2 linked regions of the Sus scrofa genome follow. The protein of the gene in region 1 purifies or fractionates together with the protein of each later gene. This does not show direct contact. Links are inferred from orthologs where the notes say so. Each region holds a gene or a part of one and is shown in the gene's direction. Other genes may lie near its edges. The genes, in order: FBXL15 and CUL1.

Evidence for each region.
Region 2: the proteins of FBXL15 (region 1) and CUL1 purify together in Homo sapiens (affinity purification with mass spectrometry; 9 studies listed by BioGRID and IntAct, counting the BioPlex papers as one, with this or other methods). This does not show direct contact. The link is inferred for Sus scrofa from reciprocal best matches to the Homo sapiens genes FBXL15 and CUL1.

The regions. Positions count from the first base shown.
Region 1 is NC_010456.5:113,428,854-113,433,176, forward strand, and holds the start of FBXL15 (F-box/LRR-repeat protein 15), read left to right. Parts: upstream 1-1,315; 5' UTR 1,316-1,465; coding exon 1,466-1,600; intron 1,601-3,377; coding exon 3,378-3,508; intron 3,509-3,681; coding exon 3,682-3,835; intron 3,836-4,167; coding exon 4,168-4,323. UniProt on the Homo sapiens protein: Substrate recognition component of a SCF (SKP1-CUL1-F-box protein) E3 ubiquitin-protein ligase complex which mediates the ubiquitination and subsequent proteasomal degradation of SMURF1, thereby acting as a positive regulator of the BMP signaling pathway.
Region 2 is NC_010451.4:109,468,435-109,472,244, reverse strand, and holds part of CUL1 (cullin-1), read left to right. Parts: intron 1-2,346; coding exon 2,347-2,395; intron 2,396-2,764; coding exon 2,765-2,896; intron 2,897-3,810. UniProt on the Homo sapiens protein: Core component of multiple cullin-RING-based SCF (SKP1-CUL1-F-box protein) E3 ubiquitin-protein ligase complexes, which mediate the ubiquitination of proteins involved in cell cycle progression, signal transduction and transcription.

The DNA.
Region 1 (4,323 bases):
GAGAGGCACAGGTGAAAGAGAGAAGAAAGGCCTGATATATATGTGCTGAATGGGAAAGAGACATTCTTGTTCTCCATACAGGTGCCCACACGCACACACACGTAAAGACAAAATAATGTCAGTACACAGTTAAACACATTCATAGGCAACACCCTCCAGCACACACAGACACAAGCACACACATTGCTCAAAGACACACCCTCATATACTCTCACAGTCATAACAAATATGTGTGTAATGGAAAGGCACATGCTTGTTTTACACACACAGTGTCATCAAAGAAGAACACACAAAGAGATACCCAAATATACACACAAGCCCTCCTTCTCCAAGGCACACAGAGACACATGCATATCAGATACTCACAGAGAGCTACTGGGCACAATCACACAGAAATATAGATGCACACTCATATATTTAAGCAGGGACATAGACCCTCTCCCCTAACCCCAACAGTCACCAGTCTATGGAGGGGAAGGCTGCCTCAGACCCTTCTCCCTTTCTCTCCCCCTCACTCCCCCCGGTCCCCGGGGTCGGAATGACAGATTTTGTCCAGACCAGGAGGGACGGTAAAGGGGTAAAGGGGCCTCTGGCGTCAATGCAGGGTAGGGGCAGAGGTCAGGAGCAGCAACTCTGTCAGGCAGGTTCCTGAAGCTCAATCAGGCCCCAGCGCGCCCCCCAGTGCAGCCTTGGACGAGCCGCGTTGTACTCACCGCTGCTCGCCTGGAGCTGGGGCCGAGGAGAGGCAGGGGAGAGGCTGGGCCCAGCCTAGCTGTGAAGGCAGCACGGCTCCTGCTTGCTCCTGCTTGCTCCAGGCCCGCCCGCCTCTCAGTCCCTCCTCCTACCCCCTACGCGCGGCTCAGGCAGAGCTAATCCCCCCACCCACCCACCCACCCGCCGCCCTCTCCCCGGGGGCCCTGAGCCCTGAGCCCCGGAGACTGTCCTCCTTCACGATGCTAGATCTCCGCTGGGCTCTCCCGCCAACCTGAGACCCGCCCCTGACGAGGGGGAGGTGGTATGGAACCTCCGGTTTCTTCTCCAGATCCTCACATGCCCAACCCCAATGGTGTCCACATCTCTCTTGTCCACCACCCCCTGAACAGCACGCAGACCCAGCTGCACACGCGTGTCCCGCTCAAGACCCCATTGCGTGTCCCTAGGAGGTTGCCACATGACCTGTTACATGCCACACGCGCTCCCGCCCCCACGGGCACGCGGCCGCGCCAGCACACCGTACGATGTAGACTGGACCCGCCCCCTAAATCCAGAAGACCATCAACTTATGGAAGAAAGATCTAGGGAACACCGCCTCAAAACCTCCGAAGGTTCTGAGTCTAGGACCCAGGAGACAACCTGACCACTCGCCCGGGATGCAGCAGGAAGGACGTTAGTCAGACTTCAGAAAGAACTTCCTTGCTGCCTGAGTTAGGCATCCCGCCCGTGTAGGGGTAAGAGATTAGAAGGAATGACGCCTGGACTAGAGGAAGTGAGAAACAACCCTTGTGCCCTTGGCCAAGGTAGAAGCGGCCCAGCTATTTTAAGAAAGCACCGCCAGAGTTACTATAGCAACTGCTCTCCTTGCGAACTCCAAGACAGACAGGTGGTGATCCTGGAAGGAAAAAAGGGGTCTGTTCGGGCGGTCAAGGGGCGCGAGAACGTGCGAGGCGGGGGCGCGCGGGGCTCACCGCGGGGAGGGGAGGCGCGGGCTCCGCGTGGTGCTGAAGGGGACAGCGCCCGATTTGTCGCACTGCGCAGGCGCAGGAGCGCTAACAAAGCGGGGAGGGGAAGGAGGCGCGCGGCCCTAGGTGGTGCGCGCTCACTTGACTCAATCTTAGCAAAGATTTGTTCCTTCAGCCACCCTTCCCCAGGCAGTCGGAGGAAAACAGAGCGAGTCCTTTACCTAAGCTGACCCTCCTTTGTCCTTTCCCTTTGCTGTTTACTCTCTTCTCGCAGCATGTGGATGGGCGGGGTGGGGGAGGGTAGAGGAGTGTGAAAGGGATTCGGGGAAAACCAGGATGCCAGAATTCTCTCTCTCGACTCTCTTGGCCCCGGACAAGGCGCTTCCTCTCCAGGACCTCGATTTCATCTTTAAAGTGGAATGATAGAACAGACCTGCCCACCTTGCACAGGCGCCCAAAGTCCTTATGAGATAATGGATGGGAAGCAGTTTTCGTTATAAAGGGACAGGTGGGAGTTCCCGTCGTGGCGCAGTGGTTAACGAATCCGACTAGGAACCATGAGGTTGCGGGTTCGGTCCCTGCCCTTGCTCAGTGGGTTAACGATCCGGCATTGCCGTGAGCTGTGGTGTAGGTTGCAGAGGCGGCTCGGATCCCGCGTTGATCCCGCGTTGCTGTGGCTCTGGCGTAGACTGGCAGCTACAGCTCCATTTAGACCCCTAGCCTAGGAACCTCCATATGCCGCGGGAGCGGCCCAAGAAATGGCAAAAAGACCCCAAAAAAAAAAAAAAAAGGGACAGGTGAAGGGCTGCGCGAAGGGAGAGGGCAATCCTGCTGGGGGCAGGGGTGGGAGAACTCTGAGAGAGAGTAGTATCCCTCGGCGTCCTTCACACCCTCCCCTCAAATGGATGATGGGGAAAGCACTGGTCCAGGAATTCCCTGGAGCGGACCCTGGAACTAGAATCTGGGGACTCGGTGAGAGTGCGGCCCGGAGATTGAGCCCAGAGCTCTGGGGCGGTCACTGCCCCAAGGCGGGTCCAGCCTCAGATCCTACAACTAAGAGGAGCAGCATTCCTGGCGGGCTGAACTGAGCATTCGTTCTCAGGACTCTAGACCTCTTGAGTAAAGGAAAGAGACCTAGCTGGAGATATAGTCCCTATAGCCCTTCTTGCCTCCTACATCTCTCTCCCCAAGGTGTAAACCCATTCCAAATCTTTCAGGAGTGGAAGGGGCTGGATAGCTCTGTACTTCAGAATTAGCCAGGATGGGAGGTTTGGGCAAGTTTGCTTGATGAAAGAAGGAAAATTCTAGCTTTGCTCATTCAACTCACTGGACATTCACTACATGCCAGAGACAGGATAGTTTCTTTCCGTTTTTCAAACTCACTAAAGGCGACCAGAGGGCAGAGAATGTAGGGCCCAGAACCTTGGAGTCCTGGCCCCGCCCCTTCTACGTTTGGCTCTGCCTGCTCCTCCCATCACTTTACTTAGAGGCGGCCACTGGCCCAAAACAAAAAAAGAAGCCAGCTCTGCTGCACCATCGCGTGCTTCAGCCTCGGGTCTCAAGCCCTGTAGCGGATAAGGCGAGGTCTAACGTTACACCACCAGTCTGTTCCGCCTTCAGTTTCGGGATCCATCCGGAACGCTTTCAAACAGGATCCTCAGTGAGCCGGCACTCGATTGAATCGGTCTGTCTCTACAGCCCAAGGAGGCGGGTTCGCTGCGGCCTCTCCAAGGCCAAAGCAAGAAGACCTTGCTGCGCACGCGCAGTAGACAGCCGATGGAGCCACCGATGGAGCCGTCCGGAGGGGAGCAAGAGCCCGGAGCCGTCAGGTACCGAGCACCGGAGGGGCCGAGAGAAGGAAGAAGGACCTGGGGGAGGGGAGCTGAACCAAGGCCGGGTCTGGGGATCACCTTTAGGAGCCAGGGCTCAGAAGCATAACGGAGGCGGATTCACAGGTAACAGCGGCCCGGGGACGCCGCCGCCAACGCCCCTTTACCCGCAGGCTCCTGGACCTGCCCTGGGAAGATGTGCTGCTCCCACACGTCCTCAGCCGGGTGCCGCTGCGCCAGCTGCTCCGACTACAGCGCGTCAGCCGGGCTTTCCGGGCGCTAGTGCAGCTGCACCTGGCCGGGCTGCGCCGTTTCGACGCCGCTCAGGTGAGGAGCCAGAGCCCCGCCCCTTCTGGGTACCGCCTCCGCCCCGCCTCCAGCCCAGCCCCCAACCCCCTGCCCCTACCCCTGAACCCCCGCCCCCAGCCCCGCTGCCTTCCGTTCTGGACCCCCCTTGGGCCTCCGGGAATGCCCAGGAAGAGATCCACCTAGCGAGGAGGGCAAGTACTGGGAATCAGCTTAGAGGGCGCGTAGGGTCTCTATTGGGAGGGTAGGTGGCAAGCCCGAGGGAGACCTGCTGCCGTGGAAGAACTCAGGGGCGGATAGGCTGCGCCAGCCCACGAGACCATCTGAAAGTCGAGATGCCTCCCCGCCCGCAGGTGGGTCCGCAGATCCCCCGGGCCGCATTGGCCTGGCTGCTGCGGGATGCCGAGGGGCTGCAGGAGCTGGCGCTGGCGCCGTGTCACGAATGGCTGTCCGACGAGGATCTGGTACCCGTGCTGGCTCGAAATCCGCAGCTGCGGAGTGTGGCGCTG
Region 2 (3,810 bases), on another chromosome or scaffold:
GGCTGCTTTTTAAAACAGAAGACTCTCCCATATTACAGTATTCTCATTATTCTGTGTACTTTTAACATTTATCTTCCTTTAATGACTTTGATTTAGTACTGCTTTTTCATAGTCTGTATATTTTGAGCATCTTATTTCTCAACTGATATTTCCCTAATCACTGTATGTGTATTGATCACTAGAGGCACCATAATCTGATTCTCTGCGTTGTGTTTTTTGAAGTTCTCAATAATTTTTGTGTGGGTTTTGGTTTGCCCCAGCTTCTCTTTCACTGAACTAGCTTTCAGTTTAGAAATGCTCCAGGCTTATTTTAGTGATCCAGATATCACATCAACACATGTTGCAGTAGTTTTCCATGCCCCCAGTTAGAGGGGTTTGATATTAAAAAATTTTAAGGAGCTCTCTAAGGCTCATATAATCCCATTATGAAAAAGACTGAGAATAACTACACTACCAAGAGAAAGACTACAAACAAGTCTCACTTAGAAATAGAGATGTGGGGAATCTTAAGTAAAATATTAGCAAACTAAATTTATCAGTGAACCAAAGAATAATTGTTCAGAATGTAGGACAGCTTTCTAGGAATGAATGCAAGGATGGCTCAGTAGTAGCAGATGGAATATAATTGACTTTAACAACAGAGCTATATGAACAACAATGTGGTCTTCTTGATTGACATGGGAAAATATTTAATAAGGTTAATAGCCATCTCCTTTTTTATTTTTTTTTAAGAGCTGCACCCACGGCATCTGGAAGTTCCCAGGCTGAGGGCCGAATCAGAGCTACAGCTGCTGGCCTACACCACAGCCACAGCAATGTGGGATCTGAGCCGAGTCTGTGACCTACACCACAGCTCACGGCAATGCTGGGTTCTTAACCCGCTGAGTGAGGCCAGGGATCAAACCCGCATCCTCATGGGTCGTAGTCAGGTTGATTCACCACTGAGCCACTGAGTACTCCAATAGCCATCTCTTTTAACTTTGTCAGGAAGCCATTTGCCCAAGGCCTGGTGCAAATTGAGTATTTGATTTTTTTCCTCCCTATTGCAGTGCTTATCTAATGTATAATTTAGCAGTTCTAGTCAGATTCTCTAATGTATTCATTTCAGGAGTGAAAATGGACTTTAAATTGGAATGCCTCTTGTGACCTTTTATTTTTTAGGCTCAGTAAAATGAAAATTTTCAATATTTTAAATGTGTAGATACTCTTGTAGGGCTTCAGTTTGTTTGACTTTTTGTCTTTTCATAAATGGTCCTCATCAAGTCTCCTGGTGTATATTATTCTTTAGTTAAGGCTGCTAAAGCAGGCAGAATGGTGGATAGTTCTGAGTGCTGTTTTAACAAGTGTATGTTAGTGATTGGACTCCAGGGACACTTAAGTTAAACTCTTCCAGGAAAGAGACACAGGCCTGACCTATCAGTGAGAAGAATGGGCTTCCTGAGCCAAGTATTTCCCCCCTCCGCCCAGGGCTGTACCCACAGCATATGGAAAGTTCCTAGGCTAGGGGCTGAATTGAAGCTGTGGCTGCCAGCCTATACCACAGCTATAGAAACTTAGGATCCAAGCTGCTTCTACAACCTATGCTGTAGCTTGCAACATTGCCAGATCCTTAACCCACTGAGCAAGGCCAAGGATTAAACCCACAATCCTCACGGATACTAGTCTGGTTCTTAACCCATTGAACCACAACCGGAATTCCTGAGCCAACTATTCTTAAGTAGGATCACGTCTTTAGAGCTTGTTTGCTGGTTGGATCATTTTATATGGATTTTATAGGGGTCTTGTTTATTAAGGTCTCTTGGAGTAAAAGCTTTAAATTTTTACCCTGCAATCACCTTTCAGTTAATATTTATTCATAGACTAGAGTGAATCAAGCAGTTGTAAAAGGACAACCATCTATTTTGTGGACGTAATGACATGTAAGGCAACACTTTAGAGGTAGTTTACAAACTCTTTTATCTTTAATTACTAGGCCATTAAAAGGCCTTTTATTTTTTCAAAGTTAAGTTAAAGCGTATTATATAGAAAGCAATTAGAAAAGTAAAAGGCATGTTTAAATGGATTATCTTAAAGGAAAACTTGATTCAGAATGTTTGGGGAAGCTTTTAATAAGTATCATCTATTGAGATCCATTGTGGATATTCTACATTATTCTGTGGAAGAACAGATTATGAAAGAGAGATAAAGTGTAGGACAGCCTAAACCTTCCCTCTTCCCCGTGCTAATCTGAGAACTAACCACTTGAATGTTCAGAACCACACTCTAATGTGGTTTGGTTGAGTGGTGCTTGTTTGATAAATGTTTCCTGATTTATTTTAAAACACTATACCTTTTAAAATTTTTCAGTTCCAAGAACCCAGAAGAAGCAGAGCTAGAAGACACACTCAATCAAGTGGTAAGAAGCTCCAGGGTCACGTCAATGTGCAAGTAGCCTTTTCTCTGACAAGTGGCTTTTCAGTTATTTAAATGAGGCATATGGAATATGGAAAGTAGTAGAAGCATTCGTTTTATTTTGAATCTATGATTTTACTCCCTATATTAAGTCCTTAATTTTGGCATTTGTACTTTCCTTATTTGTATTCAGTCTAGACTTCACGTAATTTTAGGGATTGATGAAAATACCTGCCTTAAAGATAATGGGGCAGTATTGTAAGCGTGGCATACAGGGCTGGACAAAACGGAGCACACATGTTTGTTTCTGGCCTGGGTTTGGTGACAGTGTCTTTGTAAGTGTGTTAAGTGTGCTCTGGTGTGGCTTTTCTAGATGGTGGTCTTCAAGTACATAGAGGACAAAGATGTGTTCCAGAAGTTCTATGCAAAGATGCTGGCCAAGAGGCTTGTCCATCAGAATAGCGCCAGCGATGATGCTGAAGCAAGCATGATCTCTAAGTTAAAGGTAAATGTAATGTTTTCCGGAAAAATGCCAGTTTTAAGTCACTAAAGTTCTGGGTTGTCAGTTGGGCAGAGTAGACAATGGATGACATGGATTCTGTGCCGTGAGAACTCCGCCCTCCACCACAAGGACCCCACCGCCAGTGTTGTGACAAGCCCAGGTCAGGCCTCACATGCTCTGCCAACCCTTCCCCTGCTGCATAGAGCCCCTCCTGCTCCAGCTGAGCCTGGCACATCGTCCAAGTGTCTTCTCCGAGCTCCTGCACCCGTGACCTCAGCTCTGTCTCCACTCCCCAAGAATTGCTGCAAGTGGTGAAGCCCAGACTCAGCTTTTTGTTGGCCTTGGGTGGGTCTGCGGGAGGACAGAACACTTTAAGTGTTAGTTTGCTGTTGCATATTTCTTCATTCGGCCGCATTTGTGTCAGTGCTTCCTGGCCTGCCAGGTGCTATTATGTGACCTGGACCATATTTCACTTTGACCTGAATTTTTTTTTTTTTTGATGATTTTTATTTTTTCAATCATAGCTGGTGACCTGAAATTATAGTTACGTGGTTGTCTTTACCAGCTTGGGCTGCCATACCAAAATACCATAGGCTTGAGTGGCTTAACAAGAGAATTGATTTTGTTTTTGTCTTTTTGCTATTTCTTGGGCCGCTCCCTCGGCATATGGAGTTTCCCAGGCTAGGGGTTGAATCGGAGCTGTAGCCACCAGCCTACGCCAGAGCCACAGCAACGCGGGATCCGAGCCGCGTCTGCAACCTACACCACAGCTCACGGCAACGCCGGATCGTCAACCCACTGAGCAGGGGCAGGGACTGAACCCGCAACCTCATGGTTCCTAGTGGGATTCGTTAACCGCTGCGCCACGACGGGAACTCCTTAACAAGAGAATTGAATAGAGTCCTGGAGGCTGCTGG